3 linked regions of the Nothobranchius furzeri genome follow. The protein of the gene in region 2 purifies or fractionates together with the protein of the main gene of each other region. This does not show direct contact. Links are inferred from orthologs where the notes say so. Each region holds a gene or a part of one and is shown on either strand. Other genes may lie near its edges. The genes, in order: gtpbp4, lyar and gnl2.

Evidence for each region.
Region 1: the proteins of lyar (region 2) and gtpbp4 purify together in Homo sapiens (co-immunoprecipitation; 3 studies listed by BioGRID and IntAct, with this or other methods). This does not show direct contact. The link is inferred for Nothobranchius furzeri from reciprocal best matches to the Homo sapiens genes LYAR and GTPBP4.
Region 3: the proteins of lyar (region 2) and gnl2 purify together in Homo sapiens (affinity purification with mass spectrometry; 3 studies listed by BioGRID and IntAct, with this or other methods). This does not show direct contact. The link is inferred for Nothobranchius furzeri from reciprocal best matches to the Homo sapiens genes LYAR and GNL2.

What each region holds. Positions count from the first base shown.
Region 1 is NC_091751.1:36,524,235-36,534,779, forward strand, and holds the start of gtpbp4 (GTP-binding protein 4), read right to left. Parts: upstream 5,963-10,545; 5' UTR 5,865-5,962; coding exon 5,817-5,864; intron 5,240-5,816; coding exon 5,069-5,239; intron 4,984-5,068; coding exon 4,880-4,983; intron 4,549-4,879; coding exon 4,412-4,548; intron 4,321-4,411; coding exon 4,220-4,320; intron 4,085-4,219; coding exon 3,992-4,084; intron 1,995-3,991; coding exon 1,803-1,994; intron 879-1,802; coding exon 813-878; intron 666-812; coding exon 576-665; intron 495-575; coding exon 384-494; intron 296-383; coding exon 218-295; intron 33-217; coding exon 1-32. UniProt on the Homo sapiens protein: Involved in the biogenesis of the 60S ribosomal subunit. Acts as a TP53 repressor, preventing TP53 stabilization and cell cycle arrest.
Region 2 is NC_091743.1:56,225,184-56,235,642, forward strand, and holds lyar (cell growth-regulating nucleolar protein), read right to left. Parts: upstream 7,016-10,459; 5' UTR 6,701-7,015; coding exon 6,579-6,700; intron 6,496-6,578; coding exon 6,381-6,495; intron 4,943-6,380; coding exon 4,835-4,942; intron 3,574-4,834; coding exon 3,496-3,573; intron 2,114-3,495; coding exon 1,786-2,113; intron 1,676-1,785; coding exon 1,616-1,675; intron 1,410-1,615; coding exon 1,324-1,409; intron 1,170-1,323; coding exon 1,032-1,169; 3' UTR 991-1,031; downstream 1-990. Other genes in the region: zbtb49 (zinc finger and BTB domain-containing protein 49), read left to right, coding at 7,650-7,801, 7,922-9,036, 9,109-9,155, 9,226-9,299, 9,400-9,482, 9,612-9,773. UniProt on the Homo sapiens protein: Plays a role in the maintenance of the appropriate processing of 47S/45S pre-rRNA to 32S/30S pre-rRNAs and their subsequent processing to produce 18S and 28S rRNAs. Also acts at the level of transcription regulation.
Region 3 is NC_091745.1:70,687,461-70,697,399, forward strand, and holds part of gnl2 (nucleolar GTP-binding protein 2), read left to right. Parts: intron 1-535; coding exon 536-675; intron 676-2,240; coding exon 2,241-2,425; intron 2,426-2,504; coding exon 2,505-2,571; intron 2,572-3,794; coding exon 3,795-3,953; intron 3,954-4,064; coding exon 4,065-4,178; intron 4,179-7,808; coding exon 7,809-7,937; intron 7,938-9,427; coding exon 9,428-9,532; intron 9,533-9,939. UniProt on the Homo sapiens protein: GTPase that associates with pre-60S ribosomal subunits in the nucleolus and is required for their nuclear export and maturation.

The sequences.
Region 1 (10,545 bases), on a different chromosome or scaffold from region 2:
TCATCGCCGAGCTCCATCTCCAGGTCTCTCTCCTGAAAATGTTTAAACACACGGCTGAGTACGAAAACACCTTCAGAAAGCAGCACTACCGAGGTGTCAGACCTCCTATATTTAATCCTAAATACATCAGACTAATAGTCAACTATGACAGACCATAAGCACTAAAATAATAAAACTGAAGACTTTAGATCAGGCACATGAAGGAACGTCTACGTACCAGTTTGCGTTTGGGAGCGTCCACCTCCATCGCTTTCCTACGATTCAGAGCTCCTTCGGGGATGAACGGGGGCCTCTCCTGGGAAACAAACAGCAGATGAAAATCTAAAAGTGTAAAATTAAGAATCTACAAAGCTTAAAAAGTCAGTTTGAACGTTCTGAAGTACCTTCTCATCCCTCTTGGCAGGCATGGCCAGGTGCAGCCTGTTCAGAACATCGTGGACCTTCTTGCCTTTAATCTTGGTGTTGACCCGGTGAGCCAGAAGCTGGTCACATGCCTGAGAAGCATACGAGCATTTGATATGATGCCTCACACCTTCAGCCGGGAGGAAATGAGCCTGAAGATCATCTGATCTCACCTCAGTTTTAACCTGCATGACTCCTTCTTCCGTCAGCGTGCTCGTCTCAATGACGGGGATTCCCTCCGCCGTGAAGTCCGCAAAGATTTTCTAGCAACAGACGGAGAAAAGGAAGCAGCGAGGGTCAGAGAAACAACGCTAAAGGTTTAGCTGAAGAAAAACATTCAATAAAAGAAAACGGTTGAGTTCGGATCATCAACCAGACGAGCTTTGGTGGCACAAAGGTCTTCATCACACCTGATTCTCCTCCGACAGCTCACTGATCTTCTTCACGTCACATTTGTTTGCAACAATGATGAGAGGCTGCAGAAAAACCAGCAAGATTGGAGTCAGCTGAATGAACGGAGCAAATATTTTTATGGTTTTTGAGGCAACAGATTGCTGCGTTTCTGTCAGATAGGGCGTGTGACCAGTGCAGGTGAGGCTGGAATTAGAGGAAAGACTAGAGACCCTTTCCAGCGAGAGACTCCTCCCACACTTACGAGTTATTTTAATCAAACATAAAACACAGCAGAGGACTTGGACACGCCCTTACCTCCGACACAAGTTGTGGCGGCCTGGACAGCACCACACACTGTCCCATACGTCCTAAAGGTCTAAACTCTTAATAATAATAATACATTGAACTTATATAGCACTTTTCTAGACACCCAAAGACGCTTTCACACACTCTCATATTCACACACTGCTAGTGATGGTAAGCTACTTGTAGCCACAGCCGCCCTGGGGAGGTCTGACAGAAGCGAGGCTGCCATTTGGCGCCGTCGGCCCCTCTGACCACCACTAACACAGGCAAGTTGGGTGAAGTGTCTTGCCCAAGGACACAACAGCAGGATACCCCTGGCGGGAGCTGGAATCGAACCCATGACCCTCCGATCATGAGGCAACCCGCTCTACCACCTGAGCTACTGCTGCCCCTGAGCTACTGCTTGTTTCTTTTGTTTAAAGTTTTCTGACAGGTTTACGTTCGGCCGCGACAGCTGGTGACAAACTGCAAGCTGAATTTTCCCTAAATGTTTGTAATATTTTTTCTCACAACATGAAGCTGTGGCACCTCATCTGCAAACATCTGGAACTAGTCTCTTCCTATAAGTCTGAAAGTCTTAAAAAGGAGAGAGAGAACGAAGCAAATAAGATGAGTTTTAAACTGATTAAGTTGTTTTGTAGCTAAATTGCAACAACTAAATGTGCATTTCCATCTAGTCTGTAACAGCTCTGGAGTCTGACCTTGTTGGTGAACAGAGGCCGGATGTTGTTGAAAAGCTCCAGCTGCTCCTGCAGGGTGTGTCCGCACTGCTCAGACACGTCAGTGACGTAAAGGATGGCTGAACGAAGGTGAGCTAGAGCCGTGATGGCCTGCATCTCGATGGTGTTCCTCTCCTCCAGGGGATGGTCCAGGATACCGGGGGTGTCCACCACCTACACACGTGTCAGCAGAGCATCAGAGCGGACACCAGAAACAACTTCCTGATCGGTTTCAGCTGTTTTATAAGCGGAACTTGAAGGTAAAGTTTGAACACTTAAAGAGCAAGTCACCCCCTGCCAGAGTATTACTCCACTCCCACTTTCTGTTTGAAAAATGCAACAAATGCTGTTGCCTGGCAGACCGAGAAGGCGTAGCCGCTAGCAAATACACAAACAAAGGCTCAAGATGACATTGTGACATCATAATGTACCAGCTAACATCATAGTGTAACCGCTTAGCCAATAGCGATGGCAGACTTAAATTCACATGCAGTGCAGAGTTTTTACCTGAAGATGGTGCAATAATGACAGTTTTAGGCAGAAAATTAAAATTGTAACTAAGATGCACTAAAGTGCCAAATTATTAACTACACATGTCTACAGCACGATTAGACACTCATTTATATACCAAATCCTCTAATATTGGCCTGTATATAATTAACTGCTGGGTATCATATTCTGGCCAGTGTCAGAGTCGGTGAATAATGGCCGTTTTTTTATTGTGGCCGGGTGGAATGTGGTAACAAGCAAGTACCACGGGGGGGGGGGGGGGGGGGGGGGCAGTTGTGTCATCCGTCTCACTTTTGATTTGCCAGTGATAGACCGCGAGGGTAACTTTAACCGTGCGGAGATGAAGAGGAGGCGAAAATTTGATATTAAGTTCAAAGAGAACGTGCTGATTATGCTGCAGAACACTCTGGGGAGCAGTAGCAGGGGTTGTATGAACTAGTCACTAGTCGACTTCACCGCTCTATAGTGACTTTTTATGCCCGTCATCGACTAGTCGCTGTCACGTGATAATGACCGGCAAGATACAGTCCTCGGAAAAGACAGCAGCCTGCTGTCAGCAGGTGACAAGCTCCTGCGTGTTGGGAGGCGACGCGCTGTGCCAGAGCGTCGGCACTGACCCCCGCCGTAAAACGGACATTTAACCAAATTGTGACATTTACCCTCTTGCAATTTAACCTTCCCCTCACCCCATCCTAACCTTAACCAGCTTGCGCATGCAAAGCTCTGATTGTTGACACGCTCCAGACATCTGCGTCCTGAGCACGGCCACAGTTACATTATCAAATCAGGTGTTGCCACCTCAAAAACTAATTTAACACGCGATCGTTCATGTTGGCTCATTTCCTTTTATGTTTTTTGTTTTTTAAATTATTTTATTTGTGCCTGATGCGTTTCGCTGCTGTGGATCGGGGTGCATCACCTGTTTTGTCCTCCGGTGACTCACCTAACTGATGTGGCCGGCAAGCAGCGCGCACTCCGCTGTTTTTGCGGTCGGTAAATCTTTTAGAACTGCAGTTCAAAGGTAACTCATAAGATGAATATATATGAAGCCAGGTAGCAGTTTTTCTTTAGGATTGAGAGGAGATGCAGGAAGATAATAAACAGGCAGGACAGAAAAATAGTCAAATAAAAACAAGTTAGTTTTTGTACCTGGTGGTTGCAACAAACAGACACCATTGACGGTAATCAGAAGTGAGGAACAGAAAATGAAATAATTATTTTAATGTTTAGAGCAGCAGGAACTCCGAGAGGCTGCAGGCTCATCAGTGAGTTTGCAGCCGCTGCGCAGGGGGAGGGGGCTGAAGCAGAAACTACCGTTGTTAAAAGAAATGTGTTTAACTTTGAAAACGTGGGCGCAATTTTAATTGTCAAAAACTCCAGCGAACCATTAGTTCATTTTGCTCAAATAGAAATTGAGGCCTGTCTCTAATTCTGGTCCTCCTTCCAATAAAGGCCTGGAGCTTGGTGAGCTTGGGTCAAATACAGGCCCAGGCCTGTATTAGAGGATTAACGGTATTTATCAGCAAAAAAAAAAAAGTTGATTTGAGGCTGACTTGCTCTTTAAGTTACTCTGAACAGAAAACAGAAAACAATAAACCTTCTTCAAATATTTCAGGTTCACCAGAGTTCATGAATGCAGTAAAATAGCAGCAGAATCTCACCTGCCAGCGGAGGTACCTGTAGTCCATGTGACCCACAAACAGAGACTTTGTGGTGAAAGCATACGGCTGGACATCAACGTCTGCCCTGGTGACCTAGTGAGGTGAACATTTCACATTTTCTTTAATGAAGAAGGGAAACCAGGCTGATTTAATACATTAGTTAGTACCATGCTTGGAAAGCTGGTCTCAGTCAACATTAATTATGAAAAAATGATCTCTGTAGCTGACCTTGTTGATGAAACTGGATTTGCCCACATTGGGGTAACCACACAGAAGCAGGGTCCTGGTGTTCGGGTCGATGCTCGGCAGACGGGACAGGTGCTGACGAACTGTAGGAGCAGGAAGTCAGATTTAAACCACAGGAATCTGCAGCAGAAACTGATGTTTAATCACAAAGTTTTCCCACTAACAACTCATCACCTTGCTCCAGATACTCCAGACTGGATTTCTGTCGTTTCAGGATGGTGCACATTCGGCCCAAAGCAGCTCTCTTCAGCTGCTTACACCGATACAAAGAATCTCCATATTTCATCAAGCGCACGTAGTCTTTCGCCACGCTGGAAGGTTATAAAAAACAAAAATCACTTGTTTGTAGAAATTTTGGGTTCTGTTGTTAGAATCACTGGTTGTTTAACAGCAGAACTCTACTGCCTAAATGGTCTTCTCTGTAGGTTTATGTGTTCTTACAGAATTTAAAAATCTTTAGCAAAGCAGAAAAAACCTGAACACCTCACCAACCCCACAGGGACAGAGGTTAAACTTAAACTGTCTGATTAATTTTGTGTTTGATTCATGTCGAAACCTCAGGATTGCTTATATGTCAATAACCCAAACAGGGTGTTGTAAACTGCATGATGCATGTTCACATTCTCTGAAGTCCAAACTTACTTATCAATCAAGTTTCTGGCGATGTTAATCTGTCCTAAGGCCAGCTTGTAGTGATCCTTGTCATACAACACGTTCATCAGATCAGCATAAAAAGGATGGATGTCCTGGAGAGACACACAGACCAAATTCACAAACAAATCCCAGAAATCAGACAATCAGCCTCCAGATGAGTAAAGGGCGGTGACCTACGTCGAGTTTTGGGAAGTCTGTGAGGATTTGCGTGAGCCGGTCGTGATAGTTCTGCTGGGTAAACTTTACTTTCCGCATGTAGAAGTGTCGGATGCGGTGGATCTGGTAATGTTTGTGGACCACCGTGGGCGTCTTCCTTTGTGTTTTGGATAAAGTGATGTCGATGAATTCCTGCAGACATGAAGAGTGCACTGGTTAATAACCTGAGACCACAAAGACAGTTTTTCTCTAAGACATTCTGTTATCCTGCAAGGTTCAGCCAAGCCTCTGGCTGACAGAAAACAATGTTTATCAAGTCATTTTTCAAAAACACTTCAAACTGAAACGTTTTATTATATGATCTTCTTTACTTTGGATTGGGCTTTTAGAACACATTTTAAGCAACTGAAACGCTTAAAATTACAAACATCTGATTAAAAAGCAGAGTTAGATTTTATTTACGACTACTGGTAGCTACTAGCTAAAACAAAAAATTGAGGAGCTCGTTACTTTTCAAACAGTGGTGTAATCATCCCAGACATTACGTAAACACGCAGGAAAACCTCGTTTAGTTTAATAAATCGTGTCCTATTCGTTTTAAGGTAAAAATCTACTGTTCTCGCAGATTTTCATCCAATGATCTGTTGCTGTCCCACGTGTTTTCGTTCCATTTAACTGTTTTCATTTCTATCAACCAACGGTCGTTTCTAACCGCGAGAGCATGGTCAAAGCCGAGTTGAAAAAGCGGAAATCGTGGAATAAAACTCACCTTGGCGGTAGGAACCACCATAATCTTTTTAAAGTTATAAAGTGCCATTTTGTCAGGACACGTTTAGGGCCACCGACGGCACGGAGAGGAACCGGAAACGAGTCAGTCTGAGACCACCAGCAGAAACTGGAAACTTTTCTGCTCGGCGCCCTCTAGCGGCCATAAGTGCACACAGCAATTAGAAACATGTAAACATCCCCCAAACATTAAAAAAGGGCTGAACTCTAAAATAAACAGCTGATACGCAACTTCTAATGGCATCATATGATTTTTTATTTGATTTTATACTTCCTGGTACTATTTAAGACAAAACACTCATACTAAAGTCAGCTAAAATTAGCTGTGCTCAAGTAAAATATTTTTGAAAGCCTATGCCAATATACTTTTAGAATATAACACGTCTATTAAAAGTCTATTTAAACATTCAACCAACCTTAGTGCACTTAGTAACTTAACTGGAAAAATTCTCAGCTGAACTTTGTTGCATACAAATAAATTCTGGTTAATTTAAAATGTAGAAACTCAACCTTCTCCTAGGTATTTCAATATTTTTAAGTGTTTTATTCTAATCTTTATGTGGACACCTTCACTTTTACTTCATTGCGTTCACAATGTGTACATTTTTATTTTTACATGGAAGGGGACGGAGGTACAATTTACATGAAAACCATCGATGAAAACATGTCTATGGGGGCGCAACATATTTGTTGTGACCCGCGCTAATCACCAAACAACCAATCGGAGTGCAGTGGTGTTTCAAGGCCACGCCTACACTCCTTGATCACGAGTGAGGTTCGCGTGCAGTTTGGACCAATCAGGGGAGCACACTGCAAGAACGAAGACGAAGGGGCGGAGGGTCGAGCCCCCTGACAGCTGCACCAAAGACATCCCAAATTTTAAGGAGGTCTCACTCCAACAGCTGGGGGTTTACCACGAAGAAGTTCAACAAAACTGGGATGTGGTATATTTTATTTATTTTTTATTTAACCAGATGATTTAACTCATTCTCATTTGCAACGACGATCTAACCAAGAGGCAGCAGCAACAGACAGACAATTTGCTTTACACAAAAGAAAAGCAGATAAGATCAAACAAACAAGAATAAAAAAAGATAAATCAGTTAGACATAAAGACAAATGACTGTTCTCATGTACAATATCTACAAGCAATCAAAACAGACTTAAACAATCTAAGTATTCAGAGGCAGGCACATTGATCAGAAACTACTGACTGCAATGAATTATTGAGTTTTGTGTCCACTCAGAAATAAATTGTACTATGATAATTGTCTTTGTTTACTCTGTCCTCTTTCTTCTTTGTGTTTTGTATTTTAAATGGGGGTGAGAAGAGAGGTAGAAGAAATATGATTTGGACAAAAGCACAATGTTGCTGAATTATTTGGGTGTACAAATAATTAATAATACATTTTATAAAACTAATAAATAAAATAGAAAATAATGAAGGAATTATGACATCTGCACTCTGTAATAAATGAGTCACTACTATGAACAAGTAATTGAAAAGAAAATAATTTGCAAAATAATACAAACCTGTAATAAAATAATTTGTAAAAATCAACCAGGGATCAAAGATGCATATTGGTTGGTTTATAAACAAGTCTTTAGGAACATTACTTAATTATAAATGGTAAATGACCTGTATTAAATATAAACCCTTCCAAGGTTCTAAAACCCCTCAAGACACTTTGCAGCGTAGCCAGTCACTCACCCACACACAGTCATGTGGTGTTCATGAGCTACAGTGTAGCCACAGCTGCCCAGGGGCACACTGACAGAAGTGAAGTTTATTTCACTTTCTTCATAAGGAGAGTTCTTGTCTGTAAATTTATGTTTGTCAATGACTTCAGGGTTTGAAAGTAAGAAAGCTGGATTTACATCTATTTATATCTGAAAGTCCTCATGCACATTGGCAGAGGACTTAGGTTCCTGCCCTGTAACCGGAGGGTTGCCAGTTTGAGTCCCGCTCCGTCTGTTGCAGCGTTCTTGAGCAAGACACTCCCTGCTGGTGGTGGTTGGTCATTGCACCTCAGGGAAGCTGTGGCTACAATGAAGCTCATCACCACCATTGTGGAGTCAACCATTTACGGATGAATCTCATATGAAGGTTTTCCTGCACCACATTAATTCTTTTAGGTGTAAAGCATCAGACAATTAATATTTCATAACAATCATATCAACTTGCAACCTACCCAGAAAATTATGTTTATGTTTATGTATTTAGCAGACGCTTTTGTCCAAAGCGACTTACAAGTGATGATCGGCATATTGCCCTTGAGGCTAACAACAACAATAACAACAACAACATTGACATCAGTCATGGAGAGGAGGGAACAAGGAGTGGACAGTAGAGAGGGGGATGGGTGCAGGGAGGGTGCTAGTTAAGAAGATGCTCTCTGAAGAGCAGGGTCTTCAGGAGTTTCTTGAAAATTGAAAAGGAAGCCGCAGTTCTGGTAGTGCTTGAAAGGTCATTCCACATTTGTGGAACGATGCATGAGAAGAGTCTGGATTGTCCTGGGCGTGGTGTAGGCACTGCTAGCCGACGATCCTGTGATGACCGGAGCGGCCGGGCCGAGACGTAAGCCTTTGCAAGAGGATTCAGGTAGATGGGAGCCGTACCATCTCAGCCTTTGTATGCTAGTGTTAGCAATTTGAATTTGATGCGTGCTGCTAGCGGTAGCCAGTGGAGCTCAATGAACAGAGGGGTGACGTGTGCTCTTTTTGGCTGATTGAAGATCAGACGCACCGCTGCGTTCTGGACCATTTGAAGAGATCTCACAGTACAGCCTGGAAGACCAGTTAGAAGGGCATTGCAGTAATCGAGGCGGGAGATGACAGTAGATTGCACCAGGAGCTGGGTGGCATGTTGTGTTAGGTATGGTCTGATCTTTCGTATGTTATACAGCACAAAGCGGCATGAACGAGCCACAGAGGCAACTTGATCTTTAAAGCTCAGGTGTTCATCAATCACAACGTCCAGATTTCGAACTGCCTTTGAAGGAGCCAGAGATAGGAAGTCATTTTGGATTGAGATATTGTGCTGTATGGATGGTTTTGCTGGGATGACAAGTAGATCAGTTTTAGAGAGGTTGAGTTGGAGATGGTGGGATTTCATCCGTTTTGATATGTCAGAGAGACAGTTTGATATTTGTGCAGAGACAGTGTGGTCATCCGGTGGAAATGACAGATAGACCTGGGTGTCGTCTGCGTAGCAGTGGTAGAAGCCATGTGATCTAATGATCTCACCCAGTGAGGTGGTGTATATGGCAAAGAGAAGAGGTCCTAGTACAGAGCCCTGGGGGACTCCTGTGGCAAGATGGTGCACGGTGGAGGATTGTCCAAGCCAAGATACACTGAATGATCATCCTGTGAGGTACGATTCTAACCAGGCGTGTGCTTTCTCTGTGATGCCCATGCTAGAGAGTGTGGACAAAAGGAAGCCATGGTTGACAGTGTCAAATGCAGCCGATAAGTCGAGCAGGATAAGCACTGAGGATTTGCCTGTTGCACTAGCTTCTTTTAAGGATTCAGTCACTGCTAACAGAGCAGTTTCAGTGGAGTGGCCCTTTTTGAATCCAGATGGGTAAGGGTCAAGCAGACAGTTTTGTTAGAGGTATTCTGTGATCTGCTTGAAAGCCACCCTTTCAATTATTTTGGACAGAAAAGGGAGGAGAGAGATAGGTCTGTAGTTCTCCACATGATTTGGAGGAAGAGATGTTTTTTTTTTTTTAGCAGCGGTTTAACCTGAGCATGCTTGAGAGAGGTGGGAAATGTATCGGATGTCAGTGAAGCGTTGATCACATGTGTGACTGCTGCGGCTACTGTAGGAGCAGTAGCTTGGAGCAGCTTTAGTCGGAATGTGGTCAAGTGGGCATGTAGTAGGGCGGCTGCACATGAGAAGCTTGGACACAGTTCTCAGTGAGAGGGGAAAAGAGGAAAATGACGCAGTAGTGCCTGAGATGGTTGGGCTAGAAGGAGTTTGTGGTAGTGAATGTTCAGAAGTGTCCAGTTGAGTAAACTGTTTGCTTATAGCTGCCACTTTGTCAGTGAAGAATGAGGCAAAGGTGTCAGCTGATAGATTGTTGGTAGGAGGTGGAAATGGAGGGGTGAGCAGAGTTTTGAATGTTGAAAATAGTTTCTGAGAGTCAGTAGAGCTGAGAATTTTGTCAGTGTAGAAAGCTTTCTTTGCAACAGTGATGCTGATAGAGAATGAGGACAGTAATTCCTGAAATTTCAATAGATCACCAGGATCTTTTGTTTTGCGCCATTTCCATTCCGCAGCTCTAAGATTGGTGCGTAGAGAAAATTAAAGGTAGATAAAGTGTTACTGAGGGCTGCGCAGTGGCGCAGTGGTTAGAGCTGTTGCCTTGCAGCAAGAAGGTCCTGGGTTTGCTTCCCGGCCTGGGATCTTTCTGCATGGAGTTTGCATGTTCTCCCTGTGCATGCGTGGGTTCTCTCCGGGTACTCCAGCTTCCTCCCACAGTCCAAAAAGCATGACTGTTAGGTTAATTGGTCTGTATAAATTGTCCTTAGGTGTGAGTGTGTGTGTGCATGATTGTTTGTCCTGTGTGTCTCTGTGTTGCCCTGCGATAGACTGGCTCTCTGTCCAGGGTGTACCCCGCCTGATTGCCCGTCGACCGCTGGAGATAGGCACCAGCCCCCCCCCCCCCACCCCCCACCCCCCAAGACCCCACATGGACAAAGCGGTTTCA
Region 2 (10,459 bases):
CAGAAGAAGAAAAAAAAATCCAGAACATTGCTTTAGTAAAACGTCTCAACTTTTTACAACAGTTGTCCACTATTAGGCCTATGCATTTTATGTTTCTGTTAAAGTAAAAATCAGAGAATACATTTTTTAATGATGTTTGTTAATTTGATTATTATCTTGTGTAAAATTTGCATGTGTATAAAAGTAAATGAGATGGACATTATATGAGTGCTGGTATGTATGACCAACCGCCAGAATTCATGAATCATCCCTATAAAAGCAACATTTTTTTTTTCCTTCACCAGACAGGATTAATTTCAGTATCTCGTGTGGTCTGGATTAAAATACAAGAATTAAACCCCACTGAGTCACACTGGGCTAGAAAACATTATTTTAATACCTGCAAACCTGAACGGCAGGTTGACTAAAACCCAGAGCATGCAATATACTATTACAAGTAAGCAGTGTGATGAATGAGCATCAGTGTTAAACCTGCTGGGATTAGAAAAGCTTCATAAAGCAGGCCAGATTTACTCTTGTGTGTGTATGCGTGTGTGTGTGTGTGTGTGTACACAGAGTAAGAAGACTGCTCATTCCATCCGTGGAAGATCAGAAAGCATTAAAACTTCACCCGAGGCTGACACCACGCATTTTGCTTCTATGGAGCTTCTGTGTCCCCGGCCAAGTGAACCCCGTTCGCAGTGCGGAGGAATGTGCATTAGCTTCATCCCGTGTGAGAGTCCAATTCACCTTGGGTGCCCCTCTCCCATTTCCCTTCTCCCCACTTCAACATCCAATCCCACAGATAAGGTGCCATTTCACGGCCTTACCGTGAGCTTGGAATGTGCAACAGCTTATCCTGCCATCGACATTGTCATTTTATACATTCAACAACACTGGCACGTTCTAAGCAAGATCGAGTGAATTACAGTAACCAGGCCAAGGGCGTTGAACCGTTTGATCTGCAAGATTGTGTCAAAAGTATAAAAAGATACAAGGTACAACATGGAATTGTAGCAATGGACATTTTAATTATTACATTCTAAGACAGTCTAATTTAGAAGTTTGACTCGATCTTTCAAAACTCTGAATTTGGGATTTTTATTGACTTTCTTGTTGAAAAGCACCAACAAGTCCTCTTCTGTTTTGAGATTCCTGTCACCGGTGAAAGCATAATATGCAGCCAAAATCTGAAAGACAACACGATAGGACTTGTTATTTAAATAATGTCAAGTCTTAATTTGAATATATCTTTACAAAGACAAGCACAATGTGCTCAGGGGTCTGTTAGACTAACAGGCAACACCAAACTAATGCACACAGAAACGACCCATAGTGCCTCACCTTCTTCCGGAGCTTCTTCACTGGCAGCTCTTGGTCAGGTGACTCTCTCAGCACAGCTTTAATGTTTCCTTTCCAGTTGAATTTGCCTGAAAGTTGGACCAGAAACATTAATCTAATTTTCAAGACAAATGAAACTGTCTGAGGGTCATTTCCTCATTATGAGCTAAAAGGCAACACTGACACCTGCTGGTTTTACCAACATTTTTTAAGTTTAGTACCAGTTCTAAGTACTATGAAACAAATGTGTTCCAACCCTGACTGGTTCTGAGGGTGAACTACTAAACCACCTTACCTTGAGTAACAGCTTGCTCCCCAGCATCCTCTTCCATGAGAACGTCAGAAACTTCTGCTGCTTCACAAAAAAAGGACTTTGATTTACGTACTTTTCAAAACATGCATGCTGCTCAGTGATGGACAGTATGCATGTCAAAACAGTCAATATAAGGAAAAGTCTACACTTACGCTTGATTTTCTTGAGAGAACTCTGATAGTCATTACTGTTCTCGTTCTGCTCTTCCCCGTCTGCTTCTTCGTATTGGTGTTTTCGCTTTTGGTTCTTTTTCTTCTTGTCCGTTTGGTCTTTTTCTGGCTCTTCAGCTGCTGTTTTCTTGTCACACTTTGTAGTTTTTCCACTCTTTTGCTGACGAGCTTCTTTACGCTCCCGTTTGTTCAGCTTCTTCTTCTCCCCAGTTTCGGGTTGGTCCCCCTGATTTTCAGTTCCATTAGTGTCTAACTGGACTTCAGCTGCTGGTTCTTTATTTCCGTTAGTCAGCTGTTTGGTCTCAGGAGCCTGAAAGACGATGAGAGGGCAATGAAAGTTAAACTAAAACCTGTTTTATTAACCAACAAGAAACAAAAGCCAGATAAACATCTGATTAGAAGCTTTATCGGTCCGTCAAAGTTAGTTCAGTCATTTATAGAATATTATTGTTTTTAGGGGCTTATTCAGACACTCACAAAGTGGTGATCTGTTTAAAAGTGTGCATGAGATGCTTACAGTATTGCACAGAAGTGGTGTGCATCATTAAGTTTGCTTTTCACACCACCATAAGGTTTTGTCAGTATTTATATTAGTGCCGAAGCCTCTGTGGTTATGTAAAACCACAGCAGCAGGGAGGCTAACTTTTAAACACTAATTGATAAAGTGGCTGATGATGTAGCAATCAATAAAGGTAAATAAGAGAAAAATAAATGAATAAAGAAATCTGTCAAATTCCACTCGATAAATGATCAGATTTCATCCATCAGTCTCTTTTTTTTTCTATTATGGTGACAAAAACAATATTCATTTATTTTAGTAAGTCAGACCTAACGTGTTGCAAACACTTACATAAGCTTTCCAGCCTTCCTCTTGTTCAGGTGGCCTGAACTTCAGCCATAAACCAAGTTTAAGGTTTAGATGCAAATCTGGAAAGTGTTCCATTAATAAAGTCTCTCCTGATCAGGACCTCACTAAAGAACCCGCTGTCCTATTCTTTTTTTTTTTTTAATGAAATCTAGACTTTGTCAGTCAGATTAGATTTATTCAGGACAAAAAAAATCTCTGATCTCTTGGCATTTTTCAGCAATAAAATACAGAAATAGAAAACTAATGAATGCTATAAGTTTTTACTGTAGAAACAAAGGAAAAACTTTAATAACTTTCAAAAATCTAAGTAGCGGGCAAATTCTAACTGATAGATTGTCATCAAAAGCATGTTTTCAGCCACTTTCACCAATGAAATTAGGACTCAGCATTATTCCCAACAAGTAAACAAACATGGACTCAAGTCAGGGCTGTAACTTCAGTGGAAAGCTGCATTGACAACATGATAAATGACCCGCACTTGTATAGCGCCTCTCAGAGTAAGGACTCCAAAGCGCTTTACACTACAGTGTATCGTTCATCCATTCACACACACACATTCACACACTGATGGGGATGAGCTACAATGTAGCTACAGTTGCCCTGGGGCGCACTGACAGAGGCGAGGCTGCCGAGCACAGGCGCCACCGGTCCCTCCGACCACCACCAGCAGGCAAGGTGGATTAAGTGTCTTGCCCAAGGACACAACAGCAGAATTCTCTGTCCGGAGCCAGGATCAAACCTGCAACCTTCCGATTACTGGACAACCCGCTCAACCTGTTGAGCTACTGCTGCCTTCCATTCATACAAGAACCCTCAGAACTTACGTCTGCAGCAGAAATGATCTCCCACACTTCATCATGTAGACTCGTGTTGTTTATTTTAAGGCTGTTTTTCATCCAATTCTAAAAAGAAAGAAAATAAAATGGTTAACTTTCACAAAGTGAAACTATTTACTAGGAATGGACTTGTTACATGGTATAATTTAACTTTAAAAAGTCAAAACCACAATTTTGTCTGTAAATCTGCTACAGCAATTTGGATAAAAAGTGCTATTTTTTTGCTAAATTAATACTTTGTCTGAAGTAAGTCAGTGACAGTGACGCGAGGGTTAGAAGTTGGCTTTGTAAGTGTGTGTAAAGCAAAGCCCTTGACTTAGAACGGCACTATAAAAATGTAATCATGTTTAGGCCTTTATAGAATTATATCATTATTGTTTACAGGTGTTCAAAATGAAAGCGTCCTTATTATGGACTTTTGCACATAAAGAACAAACAAAATGTCTTTACAAAAACCAGTCAGACACTTATGCCATGGGGCAGCAGTAGCTCAGGTGGTAGAGCGGGCTGCCTCATGATCGGAGGGTCATGGGTTCGATTCCAGCTCCCGCCAGGGGTATCCTGCTGTTGTGTCCTTGGGCAAGACACTTCACCCAACTTGCCTGTGTTAGTGGTGGTCAGAGGGGCCGACGGCGCCAAATGGCAGCCTCGCCTCTGTCAGACCTCCCCAGGGCGGCTGTGGCTACAAGTAGCTTACCATCACTAGCAGTGTGTGAATGTGAGAGTGTGTGAAAGCGCCTTTGGGTGTCTAGAAAAGCGCTATATAAGTTCAATGAATTATTATTATTATTATGCACTAGAATTAAAGAGGAAACAGGATTAATATTGTCAGCCAGTCGAGGAGGCTCGGGGATCTGGTTAGGACACCTCCTGGTGAGGTTTTTCTGGACACCGGGAGGAGACCCAAAGCCAGAGGGACTATGTCTCTCGGCTGGCCAGCGAACACCTAAGGATTCTCCCGGAGGAGCTGGCCCAAGTGGCTGGGGAGAGGGAAGTCTGGGCCTCTCTGCTTAGGCTGCTGCCCCATGAAGTACTAAGTGAATAGTTATTTAGTTATGTTATAATTTAGAGACTGCACTTTTAAAGATTGTATTATAGAGAATGAGATGCCTTATTTAGTCATTTATTAGATTTTACCTAATTTTTTGAATAGTATATTTGCTTTTTAACAGTGTCTTTCACTGTTTCTAGTGGGAACAGCATCATGAATTTAGGGTATTGTTGCTCAATGTTATCATTGTATCTTAATGCCTTCAACCTGAAAGGAGATCCAGTTGTGTATGACCGTCAAATGAAAATAACTGTTACTGTTCACAGTTGTACCAACCTGAAACTTCGCTTTCTTTCTTGGAACGTTATCATACGTACTGACTTGTCTAAGCACATCTTTCAGCTTGGCACTGATACCCGGTTTGCTCATGGCTTCATGTACTCTCTGAAAAAAAAGATACATAAAGTCTGAATTTTAACAAAATATTTCAGTCAACAACAAACCACCGTATGGTTTCAAGGAGATTCTGGTCCACCATCCGGCATCTCAGGAGGGGCAAGCAGCTCGGGACGTTGTGAATCGATGGGTGGAACACTTCCTCAATCCTACTGGCACGTCTTCCAGGGAGGAAGCAGAGTCTGTGGACTTTGGAATGGACTCTCCAATCTCTGGGACTGAGGTCACCAAAAAAAAAACTCCACGGTGGCATGGCTCTGGAGGTGGATGAGCCCAGAGTTCCCTAAGACTCTGGATGTTGTGGGGCTGTGTTGGTTGATGCGGCTCTGCAGTATCGCGTGGACATCAGGGGTAGTTCCACTGGATTGGCAGACTGAAGTGGTGGTCCCCCTAATTACAAAGGGGGACTGCAATGTGTGTTTCAACTACAGGGAGATCACACTCCTTAGAAAGGTCTATTCAGGGGTTCTGTAAAGGTGGGTCTGTTGGACTGTCGAAGGCCAGATTCAGGATGAACAATGTAGTTTTCGCCCTGGCTGTCCTTTGTCACAGATTCTGTTCACAACTTTTATGGACAGGATTTCTAGGCACAGCCAAGTTGTTGAGGAGATCTGTTTTGGTGGCCTGAGGATCAGGTCTCTGCTTTTTGCAGATGATGTGGTCCTGTTGGCTTCATCAAAATGTAATCTCCAACTTCTTCTGGAGCGTTTCACGGCAGAGTGCAAAGCAGCTTCTCTAAACCCGAGACCATGGTCTTGAATCGGAAAAAGGTAGAATGCCTTCTCTGAGTCAGGGATGAGGTCCTGCCTCCAGTGGAGGAGTTTAAGTATCACAGGGACTTGTTCACGAGTGAGGGAAAGATGGAGCGTGGGATCAATAGGGGAATTGTTGCTGCATCTGCAGTGATGCGGGCGTTGTACTGATCTGTCGTGGTGAAGAGAGAGCTGAGCCTGAAGGCAAAGCTCTCGATTTACCGGTCGATCTACGTTCCTGCCCTCACCTATGGTTACGAGTTTTGGGTAGTGATCGAAAGAACGAGATCGGCGATACAAGCGGCCAAATTAGTTTTCTCTGCAGGATGGCTGGGCTCTCCCTTAGAGATAGGATAAGAAGCCCAGTCATCCGGGAGGGGCTCGGAGTAGACCCGCTACTCCTCCACTTCGAGAAGAGCCAGTTGAGGTGGCTCGGGCATCTGGTCAGGATAGCTCCTGGACGCCTCCTTGATGAGGTTGATGAGGCACGTCCAACTGGGAGGAGACCTAAGGGAAGGCCTTGGGGTTCCCTCAGAGAAGCTGACCCAAGTGGCCAGAGAGGGGGAAATCTGGGCCTTTCGGCTTAAGCTGCTGCCCCTGCGACTCAACTCCAGATAAGTGGCTGAAAATGGATGGATGGATGGAGGAACCACCGTTCGGTGAGAGAAGTTTACCTGAATCCACTGCTGTTGTTTCACATCTCCTTTGTTTGCCTTAGCCTCGTAGCCTTTCCCTCCATACTTCTGATTTTCACTTATACATTTGTTGTGATCTTTGTAGTCATCACCCCTGTAGAAAGCATGGAAGAGTTTACACTAAGAAAAGTCTGTGAACAGAAATCTATGGATTGTAAACACTCGGCCAGCCATTACCAGAAGTCTTTTCCACAGTCGATACAGGACAGCACTTGGCAACCACGACACATATTCACGTGTTTCTCAACCTGAGCTTTTTTTAACGATTCACCACACGCGTTGCAAGTAAAAAACACCATTTTAAAAGCAATTCAGTGACTTCTGTGTCTCGGTGCCTTTAGCTTCTTAAAGCAAGTTAAAACAACGTTTGATGCTCAATGTGGAACAATCCCCCAGTACTAGACTTGGCACGCGCTAACGGTCAAATGTGGACAACAAAAAATAAACCTACTAACAAAAGTAGAAAATAATATTTGCCAATTAATATTTTCAAGCGGATGAACAACATACGTTGCTTTTATAAAAGTTATCGGATTCAAAAAAAACACCTAGAAGCACATTTACTGATTCCCTACGTGTATACTTCACGCAATTCAATCCTACATTATTAGCCTTCCGTGAGGAAAATGCTCCCAAAGAAACGTTCCTACAATTATTAAAATAACGTTAAAAGATTGGGAGAGGAAACATTATGCCAAAAATGTTTGATTACCTTAACCAATAAAATTACAAGCATGTAATTCCTTTTATTAAAACAGAATATATATTTATTTATCTGTGTTCATGTTTCGAAATAGGCGCTGTACCAGGAAGTGACGTAAGTCACCACAGTCTAGTGACCCATCATCCCAATGAAAGGTAGGAATGTATTAAGGGAGTTGTTGGCTTTGTTTATTTCTAAAGTTGATTGTTGGCAGTTAATCTAATTTATTTACTTTTCAAAACATTATTTTTTAAAGAAATTTCGCGTTCAGCCAATTTTCCTACGCACTGCTGCGATCGCTTGGTGCAGACATTTTGTTATTTTTGCATGGCTGGTCTCGTAACTCGGCCCAGCGGAAATCTGCTGTTTACAGAACAAAATAGATGAAAATATGAAGTTCAAAAGTTTATCCAGAATCAGCTGAAGAATGCATTTGTAACCCAGTTTAGCTGTTTGTTACCCATTAGCTACAGATAAGCTGTTTTCTTCTTCTTTTTCCCCTGATGTAAGGTTGAAGTTGAGAGAGGTCCAATAGCTGAGTGACCATGGACTCCCTGTCCAGCCACAGCTCATACCTTCTCCAGCAGCTCCAGGAACAAAGAATTCAGGGACTTCTTTGTGACTGCATGTTGGTGGTTAAAGGTGTTTGCTTCAAAGCCCACAAAAATGTCCTGGCTGCTTTCAGTTCCTATTTCAGGTGCCCTAAAGTCAATTTAATGAATAAAAATCCACATGTTTTTGTATTTTTTAGCTTTCTCTATTAATCATGTTGCGATTCTATAGATGATTGAGTTGTTTTATAATTGGATTTCTCCAGGTCTTTGTTCCAAAACTCTCCAAGTCAGAAGAGCGACGTTTTCAACCTGGTTATCCAGGATGTCAGTGGCATTGGTCAAATATTGGATTACATGTATACCTCCCATCTCGACGTTAACCAAGAAAACGTACAAGCGCTTCTGGACATTGCCCAGAGCTTGCAGGTTCCAAATGTGCAGACCATGTGTAACGCCTTCCTCAAGCCTTGCCCCCCACCCGCAGAGTTGTCTTCCTTTTCCCTCCCAGGCATGCTGAGCTCAGAGCATGACTGTCTTCTGGGCAGTGGTCTTCCACATGATGTTGACCTTCACTGTACCTCTGAATCCCAGAGGCCAAATTTTTACAGTGACCTGGACCACACAAGAAGGATACCAGTTTCTCTGCCTAGCAACAGCACAAATGGTGACATACCTAGCAGCTCTCATGCACCTGTAGAAAAACAGCTGGTTCATGGATATAAGCTCCGTAATTTTTACAGTAAGCAGTACTTCAAACAAAGTGCTCTGCAAACCAGTAGTGCAGCTTCAAACCAGGGCCCAGGTCCTTTAGTGTTATCAGAAGAGCAGCTTGGAATGAGCCAGAGTCGAAACAACACTCCTGTAACCTCTGGAAACGTGCCTCAACCTAACCTTTCTTGTACATCTGTGCCAGCTGAAAAGAGCACAGTCTCGTCTTTGACTCCATCAGATAATCTCAACACCTCCAACTCTGATCCAACTGACTCCATGATCAACAAGACCGTTCGTCCCAAGAAGACAGTGTACTTGAAGAAATATAACTACCTCCGGTCTCAGAAGGCTCTGGAGGAGATGTGCACTGAGGCGGCCATCGAGCCCATCCACATTTGTCCCAAAGAGATCCATTCAGAAGAAAACATCACTCGGAGTGAAGTCCCAGCACCTCCAGTAGAATGCAGCCCTGCAGATAGAGGGGAAGCTTCAGAGGCAGCAGACATTGAGCTTCCCAGTCCTCCTCCTATAAACCAAAAGAAGACAAACTTAAAGCCTGTGCCAGAGCCCACTCTGCAAACAGGACACAAGCAGTATTGTTGCGAAGTTTGTGGGAAGATCTTTAAACACCCGAGCAACCTGGAGCTGCACAAGCGCTCGCACACAGGTACTACCTGTTATTACGGCTTAATATTCCCACTCATGTACAATAACACCATTAATTATTTTGTTGATGCAGGTGAGAAGCCATTCCAGTGCAGTATTTGTGGAAAACACTTCTCACAGGTATTTTTTTGGTTTATAATTATGTATTTATTGGGTTAAATGGAGATTAATGTAACATTTTACTTTACAGGCAGGAAATTTACAGACACATTTGAGGCGACATTCTGGAGAGAAGCCATACATCTGTGAGCTCTGTGGTAAAAGGTAATTATACGTTTTTAGTACTACTACTAATACTACTACTACACTTCATATTTATAGTCTAAAATGTGTCTTTAAGTGTCTAAAACTGAGTTTTTTCAAGCTTTACTGCATCAGGAGATGTCCAGCGTCACAAAGTGGTTCACACAGGAGAGAAACCCCATCTGTGTGATATATGTGGTCGAGGTAGGTTGCATCCCTCAAAGTTTTGTCTCAGTTTTCTAATTGCTCATTGTTTTTTCTTCGGCTGACATCTAGTAGAAGCTTTAGTTGGAAAATAGCATTTTGTGCTTTTTGACGTGTCTTGTTATGCAGGATTTAACAACTTGAGCAATCTGAAGGAGCATAAAATGACTCATGCAACTGACACGAGCTTTGCCTGTGACCAGTGTGGAAAATCATTCAACACACACAGAAAGGTTCTGAAGCACAAGGCTCGTCACACTGGAGGAAAACCACACAGCTGTGCCACCTGTGGTAAGAAGCCATCTCTGTTTAAAGGACCACACTGTGTGTGTGTGCGTGCGTGTGTGTGTGTGTTTTATGTAGTTACACTGACAACTTTTCCCTACATTTGGGTGTTAAGATGTATTTTTCAAAGTGACCAGCTTTTACTCCCTGGACACTAAACACAGGCCTACATTCTGCATTTGCACTGCTTTCTGCATATATTTTTAAGGTGCGGAACACTCATTTAATCAGTATAATTGGAGCGGTCTCTAGTAGACATGAATGCCATGTAAGTCGTACTCTGAGGGAAAAAAGCATCAGTGCACTATTTTCAGGAACTGGAAGTGAGCCACAACAGGGATGAGCTTCAGACGACAGGATTTGGAGTCTTATTAACTGATATTTGGACATCTCGCCTCAGATTGGATGACAGCAAGGTGACTCTACCACTTACTCCAACGTTGATGTTTTATCTCCACAAATAACACAAGCCTGGAGGAGTTCTGCTTTGTGGTGGAGTTACTAATGCTAGTGGTTGGCTTCTGCTAGTCGAGATGTTCTCTGCTGTTTCCCGGGCAGTAAATCAACAACAGCTTTCCCCGTCACTAGTCAAGATGGGGGAGTTCATGAGCGTTAAATGACAGTGTGACGTAGATATGTCGGGATTTTTAAATCCTATAGTTTCATCGTCTATTTTCTATCAGAAGCTAACG
Region 3 (9,939 bases), on a different chromosome or scaffold from region 2:
GAGCAAGCCCCTGATTGGTGGGTAGAATCAGCCCACATGGACTTAAGGCAAGGATGTGTGGAATCAACCGGGCCAGGCTGGGGCCGACTGGGGCTACCCGGCCCGGGCCGACCCGGTACAGATGGGAATGGCCCATTAGTCAATCGGGCAGTCCGTCATACCCTGTAGAAGAAGAAGATAAAGCAAATGTGTCCTTTGTTTTAAAAGAAAAGAACTAAAGTATGGTACCTCTATCTGCTTATGTCTCAAAGAACAGCCCAAGTCTAAACCATCCGGAGTTGATGCCAATGCTGTTTCAAACGTCCAATATTCCTGAGCCATCTTTGTAGTTTTTCTCCGTGGCTGCTCTGGTGCTAAACTTAACCAATGTCCTTCTACAAACATTGAGGGCTGCGATTGCCCTGAACTAAAATGTGTTGGGCCTGCTGAGGATACAGTGGTGGCTAGATTAACCTGTAGAGTAAAGTGTTTGTCGTTGACCAGATTTCTAGGCTAATGAATGTGATTAATAGCAGGAAATTGTATTTTTCTCCAGTTAATACCCGAGTGATCAAACAGTCATCCCTACAGAAGTTCCAGGATGAGATGGGAGCCGTCCAGAAGGATCCATACCGTGTGGTGATGAGGCAAAGCAAACTGCCCATGTCTCTTTTACATGACCGAGTCAAAGCCCACGTGAGTATAAACAAACTATAAACCCTTCATCCCTTAAACGGCATCCTCTCTTTCTTTTTCCGTTCTGGTATCATTCTGCTAGCTGGTACAGGTAAGCTTGTCCAAAGGGGGTGTCATTTATTTTACCGGTTTTGGCACAGGAAGCTTTATCCCGTTTCTAATGTTTGACATTCTGGCTCCTATCAAGCATTCCGAGTTGTTTTCGGTGCATTTTCATGAACTCGTTTCATTGCATTTTATGAGGTGAGATGAACTTATGGCTGTCTTTAATCATCATTTACTTCTGGCATTTTATTAGACACTTCTTTTGTTGCCAGCCTTCTTTGTCTCATCTATTTAAACCAAAGCTGTCTTGGTTCTTTTGCCATGTGCTGTCATTTTTTTCATGAAAAGAAACATCTTGTAAAAATGAAGGGTACACTAACCTGTTTATGGGTTCTGTAATTCTGTGTGGGGGGAATTAGTTTGGATTCCTGCCTCAAGGTGTTGCTGTTGTTGAACCCTGTAACCTGTAACCCTCTGTTGCAACAGAAGTATGGCTTTAGTTTTAAGATCAGTGGAACACTTAATTAGCACAGTTCTAGCTCTGTCTCTGGCCCTATTGTTGCATTTTTGGGTGCTCGGTTTACCGTACCCTGTATGTCCCTTAATCACTGTGACTTTATCCAAGCTGGTTCTAATTCAGGAAAGCCAGAATTTACTCTGATTTGACATCAGTTTGCTGTGGATAGAACTCTGCAGCCATCACTGTGACTTAATTCCATCTTTAGCTTAATGCACATACCGTATTTTCCGGACTATAAGTCGCACTTTTTTTCATAGTCCGGCTGGTCCTGCGACTTGTATACCAAAGTGACTTATATACCAAATTATGTAAACCGCGCTGCTGCGGGCCGGCTCCGGTCCAGGTTTCAGCTCCTCTGCTCCGCCATCACCTGCTGGCGCCTGTGGCGAGCTGCTGCGGGCCGGCTCCGACCCAGGAATGAGCTCCCCTGTCCCGCTGGGAGGGTTTGAAACACCGCCATCCTCTGCTGGAGACCGTGGTGCGCCGCTGCGCCCTGGTTGTTTATTCTGTCATTGTTATTGTTCGGGTTCACACCTTCACTTTGTTTATACTCATGATTTTATTTTCTATTTTATCACTGCTATTGTTTTTCTGATTTTTTTTTATTGGTTAGAGGTATTTGCCCTGATCTTTATCATGTTGTACAGCGCTTTGTGATTTATATCTGTGAAAGGCGCTCTAAAAATAAACTTTTACTTACTTACTTACTTACCGGTACTTGTCTTGCAATGTAAAATGCTTGGTCTCAGATTTTGTAAGAAAAATAATAAAATTTTCCCCAAAAATGCGACTTATAGATGCTTTTTTCTTCTTCATTGTACATTTTATGGCTGGTATAACTTGTACTCCGGGGTGACTTATAGTCCGGAAAATACGGTAACTACAGCATTGTTGATCAAATTTCTGTACTATTAGATATGTCTCCTGCACTGGACTGTGTAGAGAAACTTGTAAAATGCAGTTTAGTCTTATTTCTTTTTTTTTTTTTTTTTTTGTACAGAATTCAAAGGTACACATTTTAGACACGGAAGGTTTCGAGACCACATTTGGACCCAAGGCTCAGAGGAAACGGCCCAGTCTCGTGGTTGAGGATGTGAAGGACCTGTTGGAGAGAGCCGAGGCCTCGGCTCTGAGCTACGACGCCGACAAAGACAAAGACTTGGTGACAGAAGACTCAGGGGTCCGGTAAGTGCTCAGGAGTTGTTGGGAGTCTCCAATTTTAAGGTTTGAAGATGATTATTTTTTAATCATGGTTCTGCAACAGGGACGAAGTCCGCGAGGAGATTTTCAAGAAGGGTCAGTCCAAGAGGATCTGGGGAGAACTCTACAAGGTAGGGATGTGTATTGGTGAAATTCTGGCGATAAAATACAGGGTAAACGATACAATATAGCACGATATATTGAGATGCATTCAGTCAGACGATATTAGAGATTTTTTTTTGACTGAATTTATTGTAGGAAAGTTCAATAATCAGTCCAAACTGATACCTAACATGTTTAGCATGAGGTATCTGAACCATAATTGAGGGATAAACATCTCAATGGTGGAAACAAAACCCATTGCACACTGCTGCTAACTAGCAGACGGTGTCTGAATTGCGCCAATACAAAAGAAAATACACAAATGTTTGCATGAAAATTCTTCCAAAAATTAGATACACGGCTTTTGAATATCGATATGTCGCTGGAAAAAAATCACGATAGATTGCCATATCATTATTTTCTCACATCCCTACTACAAGGAGATTGTTTTTATCCTCCTTTAATGATTTGTCCCTTTCAAAATAGTCAAAATTGGGAATAGGGCCAAGAGTCCCAGTAATCAATCGTAGCTAGGCCTGTGCAGTACACCAATTTATTATATGAAAATTTCATACGCTTGGTCATTCCGTACGCTACATATCATATATTTTGGTGAATAGCCTAGACAACGTCTGAAACATTCACAGTGGGAAAGTGTTTCAGCCGGGACCCATTTCACTGCTACACAATAACCCCACAGCGTGTGCGAAAAGTAAGCATTTAGCATGCTAATGCTAACACAGCGGAGGTAGCTGGGCCAAATGCACGTAATTATGTGTGTATCACACTTGGGACGCATTGTTGTGCTGTTTCACACGTAAAAGAAAGTCAGCTGTTATGTTTAATGGTGGACAGTAATGGTCATGTTGGTGGGTTGGGGTTGTATGGATGGACTGTTTCATCATTCTTGTTTACTGTTATTCTTAATTAGGAGCATGTATTGGCAAGACGATAAAATATTTTGCGATACTAAAAGCCAGGCGATATTTGCAATTTTCAAGATTGAATTTAATTGTAAAACTCAGGCCAGACCCTTCCAGGAACACACATCCATCGTTGTTGCGAGATCTCGTTGTTCCACAAGACTGAAGGACGATAAAAACTGCTGCCACCTAGCAGTGGGAGGTGGAATTGTTTGCACATAAGTTCTCAATGAAAAAATTGATAAACAGCTTTTAAACGTAACAGCTCCTCACAAAATATTGTGAAGTTCCGGTACATCAGTGTTCTCTCACATCCCTATCATTAACAGGTGATTGACTCGTCTGATGTCGTCATCCAAGTGCTGGATGCTCGGGATCCCATGGGAACGCGCTCCAAGAGCATCGAGACTTATCTGAAGAAGGAGAAACCCTGGAAACATTTGATCTTTGTGTTGAACAAGTGTGACCTCATCCCCACCTGGGTCACGGTGAGATGTTTGCTGGGGTTGGACTGGAACTAACTGAATTCATCCTGTAGATATCCATAAATATGATGAAGTTGTAACCATTTGCCTCTCCTCTTTTTACTTTTGAACCAGAAACGTTGGGTAGCTGTTTTGTCCCAAGAGTATCCGACTCTAGCTTTCCACGCCAGTCTGACTAACTCTTTTGGTAAAGGCTCCCTCATCCAGCTCCTGAGGCAGTTTGGGAAGGTAAACCCCGTCTAAGAGCTAATCATGTCTTAAGCAAAAACAAACTTCAAGAATATAGTGACAGGAAAAAATCCAGAGAATTGACCCTTTTGGTTCTGTTTTGAGTCACCGTCACCTGCTGACTACTCTCAAAGTCATTATTGGCTGTACACCTCTTTTGGAGTTGACCCAATCTAAAATGGCCACTGCAGATAATCACCTAAAGAAAATGTGACAAATGCCTTTAAATCAGTGAATTCTCCAACTAAGCAACTAAAATTCATGTTTGAGGAGCAGACAGTGCTAACTGATATTTTAAGATCGTGCCATAGAGTGAGAGGTCACATATAAAGTTATTTGGTAAAATCTTGATCACTTTGGTCTCAGTTTAAACCTCTAGCCAGAAAGTGAGTGACCTGTGATTGAACTAAAACAGAAACACATCTATGTTATAGGAGAGATGGTTATTTCGACCTGCTTGGATTCCAGTAAAGCGTTTTACTCGCCACAAATAATAATCTAAAATTTGTAATCCACCTTATGTGGGCAAAACCAAGTTTAAAATGTGGGTAATTTGTGCAAATTGGCTTATTCTGGGTACATTTTCTTGCTCTAAGATGAAGTCAGTGTCCTGTTTTCCCCAAACTTCTTACTCTTTGTTTGTCATCACTAGCCTCCTTCAGTTGCTTTTTATTTTGTGGATTTTAGGGAAAAACATGTTGAGTTAAGCTTTTGAGAGTGGCTCAGTATCCTAAGGTTGGGGATTTAATTGCCCTCTGCCAGTAGGCTGAGCCCTTCACCGATTGTTCTTCTAGAGGCGTCTTTCATGCCTATGAATTAGCCTTGTGGGTCGGACATTACCTACGTGCAGGTCAAACCACTCTTTAGGATTCTTGTCACTTACCCAAACAAGGATACAACTGTAACTAGTATGGATGTGTACTAATTCTAACAGTACAATTCATATCACGATATACTGCGATACATTCAGCCAGGCGGTATTAGCTTTTGTTTTAGTTTTTTAACCTGAATTTATTGTAGGAAAATTCAATAAACAGTCCAAACTGATACGTAACATTTTTAACATGAGGTATCTGAACCATAATTGAGGGATTTACATTTCAGTGGTGGAAACAAAACCCAGTGTGCACTGCTGCCACCTAGCGATTGGTGCCTGAATTGCACCAAAAATAAAAGAAAATACACAAGTGTTTGCATGTAAATTCTTCCGAAAATTCAAAACATGGCTGTTGAAAATTTATATAATATTGCAGGAAAAAAGTATTGCGATATATTGCCATATGGAGATTTTCTTACATCCCCAGTAACTAGACACACCAACTCTGCAATTTCTAGGTAATATGTAACTCACTTTTCGAAGCTTCTTATCACCGACACAACAGAACTATCTTGGTCCACAAGGGTCCAATAAAGTAATTAACCTCCAGTCTACATTAAATAATTTAACACCACTAAAACGTCCACATTTCCTTTAGATTCCACTCGCCATCATGTAGCGTCCAGAAATGGTCAGTTTTTCATCTACGGTTTGACCTCTTCAGTATCCGGTCATATGGAGACGTAAGTCTTAACTGGAGCCTTTAATCTGCAAGAAGGATACTGTTGCTTGACCAAGGTCCCTCTCAAGTTTCCTCTTTATCTGCTTTGCTTCGCAGAACAAGAAGAATGAACTTTTATAAGAATGAACCGCTATAACGAATACTGGATGATGTAATGAAATACGTAAATAATCATATGGTTGAATGAACAATAATGGCTGAAGAATAATAACGACGTTTTGATTAATCTGTGCTTAAATTACTGAAGTTGAAATGAATATTTTTATGTTGTGATCAGTAAAGTTTGATTTAACAAGTGAATCATTCATCTACTGACAGCTCACACACTCACACACATGACGATGACAAGGTTGCAGTAATCTCATGACACATTGCTTTCTGGTCCACAAATAGAGCTCCTGTATCTGATGCAAGGTGTGGTTTCTGAGGTTTGTTGACAAACCCCCTTTACGTGTCAAATTCTGATTTGTCAGTAAGTCAAAATATGGCGATTATTAAAACAGAACTCACTTCCTCGTGCGTCAGTTGAGCTGAACTCTGGACTGGCCATCGGAGGACAACTCTTCTCCCATCGCACGCTACAGCTGACCGCAAACGGTTCCTTCAGAATAAAGCTGACGCAGCTCCGACTCCTTAAGACCGGATACTGAAGAGGTCAAACTGTAGATGAAGAACTGACCAATTCTGGATGCCACAATAACCTTCATTAGCATCCTCTTATTAGCTGCAAGATCTTTCTAGTCCAACAGGTAATGGGGTACCCCCTCTGCTGCATCAGCTGTTGGCCGATAGGTCAGAAGCACCGCCCCCTAATCTCACCTGCGTTGCTCAAACCAGTTGCAGTGAAGTATATTGTTGATTGACACATCAAATAGTTGATAAAATTCAGACAACAATCTCTCACGAGAACCCTTCACGGTCTCTTCACACGAGCATTATTATACTTTAATCCTAAGGAAATGTTCTTTCTTTCCATAAAGTTATTCAGGTTGCTTTTTATGAACTATTTGCATTTATATTCATCTGCTTTAGTTTTTCTCTCCTGCTTTTGAAGCAGTTGAGTAAATCTGTGAAACATTTTCACTTTTTCTCTCCATCATTACTCACATTTATCAATAAGCAGCAATCAGTTTCTCTGTCAGCTGCTCCACCTGAACTCTGCTTCCAGCGGGTTTGAAGAATGATGTGGTTTGTGTTGAATGATGAGGCTTTCTTCTGTATTCTATCAAGATGACAGCTTCATCTTTAAAATATCACATTCCAGTTTGCTGCACCGGTCTGCTCTTGTGTTTTAAGTTCATGAGTAATAACATCTATGTTGTTATTGTGATGACAACAGGGGACCAATCTAAAATTACAGCTCTTAACCCCAAAATTCCACTATCTCCGCCCCCGCCCTCCGCTGCCGCTCGCTTCCGAACTCAGATTATACTGTACCCGCTCTACAACGGCTCCGCTCCGGTGCGGAGACCTGAGTTGCGCAAACAGGCATGCGCGGGATTTTTGAGATCTTGTGATACAGTCCGAGCAATAAACGCGGAAGTTAGATCCAAACACCCGTTGTGTGGGAGAAGCATCGAAAAGAACCGTTTAATCCGCCCATCATTTGTGTTGAGAGATCAGCAGTGTTTGAATCAACAAAGTGTGACTACGTTGATAGTGGAAACGGTATTTATGGCTTATTTTTGTGCATTTAAAGTTCAACCGCGTTGTTAAAAGTTGTTAAACCTGTGCATTTGAAACAAAAAACGCTTTTTGTTATCGATTTATTGTGAAATAACGGAAGCTGTGCTTGCTCCCTTTCCTGTTGGGTGGTTGTGATTTCTGTCCATTTACTGCGGAGGTGCTCCGGCGTCCGGCAAAAATAGAATCGATCCTATTTTTGCCGGATGACGGAACGGAGGGCGGCGCAGTGCGCCGCACGACCGCAGTAGTGGAATTGCTCTGATTGACTACAACGGGACCGTTTTTGCTGCGGAGTTCGTGCCGGAGCGGCGATGGTGGAATTTTGGGGTCAATCAAGTCATTTGTCACAAAACAATGCAGAGGTTTTCTTTCTTGTCTTTTTCAGCTTCACACAGACAAGAAACAGATAAGTGTGGGTTTTATTGGCTATCCAAATGTGGGAAAGAGCTCAGTCATCAACACTCTGCGGTCCAAGAAGGTGTGCAATGTGGCGCCTATCGCAGGAGAGACTAAGGTACAGTCCAGTTGTCCCAAGAGACAAAGAACCTGAAATCCAAAATAGAAATTGACTTTGCTTTTAAATTAATTTTATAAATTGTGTTTGTCTTATTTTGTATTGAAATGGTGGGAAAGGTATAGACGATGAGTCAGTAAATACTAATGACTTTTATTTAATTACCTTTTTATTTTAATTTTTAACAACAGATCACTTCTGTGAGGTAGCTTGAACAATCAAGTAATAAATAACATAAATTCTTCACTTTTGGACTTTATTGCAAATATAAAAAGTCTAATATAAAAACAGATAGCACTTCAACTTCAACCTAAAATACCTGGCAGGGTATTTTGCCTCGGCCCCCAAAAGGCTTAGATACGTCCCTGGGCATGGGACGGAGTTTTGAAGATGATCTGAATTGTAACAACTATATAAATACTACATGCTGATAAATTATTGGTTTATACAGGTAAAAACATTTAGTGGGATCAATCTACCTAGATTTTATTTTGTTAGAACTTTGTTTTGTTTTCTTGGTTTTTATTTTCCTGTCTTCCTGTCCTGTCTGTCTCTGATCTTCCTGCATCTCCCAGTCCTCCAGAAACACTCCTGCCTGCTTCCTTCGTATTCACCTCACAAGTAACTTTTTAACCAGCAGATCAAATTAATCTATTGACCGCAAAAAAAGCGGAGTGTGCGCCGCGCTGCCTGGCAGCTCCAGCGACGAGTGCTGCAGCGGGGGCACGTCCACACGTCATGCTCGAATACAGACAGAACTTACCAGAGAGAAAATGAACGGACACGAATGACTGTGTATTAATTATATATTTTTGGGTGACGCCACTTCGAAACTTAGAAAATGTTACTGTGGCCGTGTGCAGAACGCAGCTGGAGTTCATGAATAATCAGCGGTCTGCCTGCTGCTCTCTGCATCTCTGCTCTAAAGAATCCCCGCTACACTGAGTCCATATAAATAATATAAAATAGGTAGAAACTGGATCTTTGTTGTGCTCCTTCTGGGTGTGTAAGTTAAGGACATCAGGGGAGCCTGACGACCTTTAAGGAGAACCAAGTTGCTCTCCTGTAATTTGAGCCCAGTATCCCAGTCCGGATCGGGAAGTAAAGCCCGAGTCCCGATCAGTCTGAAACCACGTGATCGGGGCCGATTTCCTAGCATGTGATCGGGACATCCCTACTGGAAATTATAGCTTAAATTTATTTTAAAAAATAGCTTCAATTTGGTCAAAGTGGCCTTAAGAAAAGGTCTTAAAAGGTCTTAAATTTGGCTCCCTTAAACCTGCAGATACCCTGAAAGAGACAAAATACTCTATTTTTGATTTTTTTGTTTTTGTATGCAAATATTTACAATTGACAAAAAAAGTCCAACTAGACAAAAACCTTAAAATGAAGGAGAGACACTCCTGGTTTTCTCTAAAGTTTTATTATTATTTCCTTTTCTTGCATCATACTTGCACCACCAATGGTTAATACCTTTCTCCTGACTCTAGGTGTGGCAGTACATCACTTTGATGAGGCGCATCTTTCTGATTGATTGTCCCGGTGTAGTCTACCCATCTGAGGACAGCGAATCTGACATTGTCCTGAAAGGAGTGGTAAGTCTCATTGATCTAGTGTTGACGTCTCGACTAACCCCCGTATTTAATCATTTTAGAACAATTCTCCAGGTGTTTAAAGAACGGTGCAGTCATGAGGGATTTCGTTTCAGTGGAAGAAAATACTTTACAGGAGACATGGTCCATCCAGCATCGGGATACTTAGCAACTTTTTCTTTTTTTTTAAAAATAATTTTCTTGAGCCAATATGTGCTGAAATAACCCTTTTTACAGGGTTATTGCAATGGTACTCATACCCCCGCTGCCCCCTACGCATCTGCAACTTCAGACTGGCCGCCACTTGTGGACTTAGAAAAAATTACATGCCTGGTGCTGCGGTCTGCTTCCAGCACATTTCTTGCATGTTTTAGGTCATGAACACAGCTTATTTGTTTTATTTAGTGATG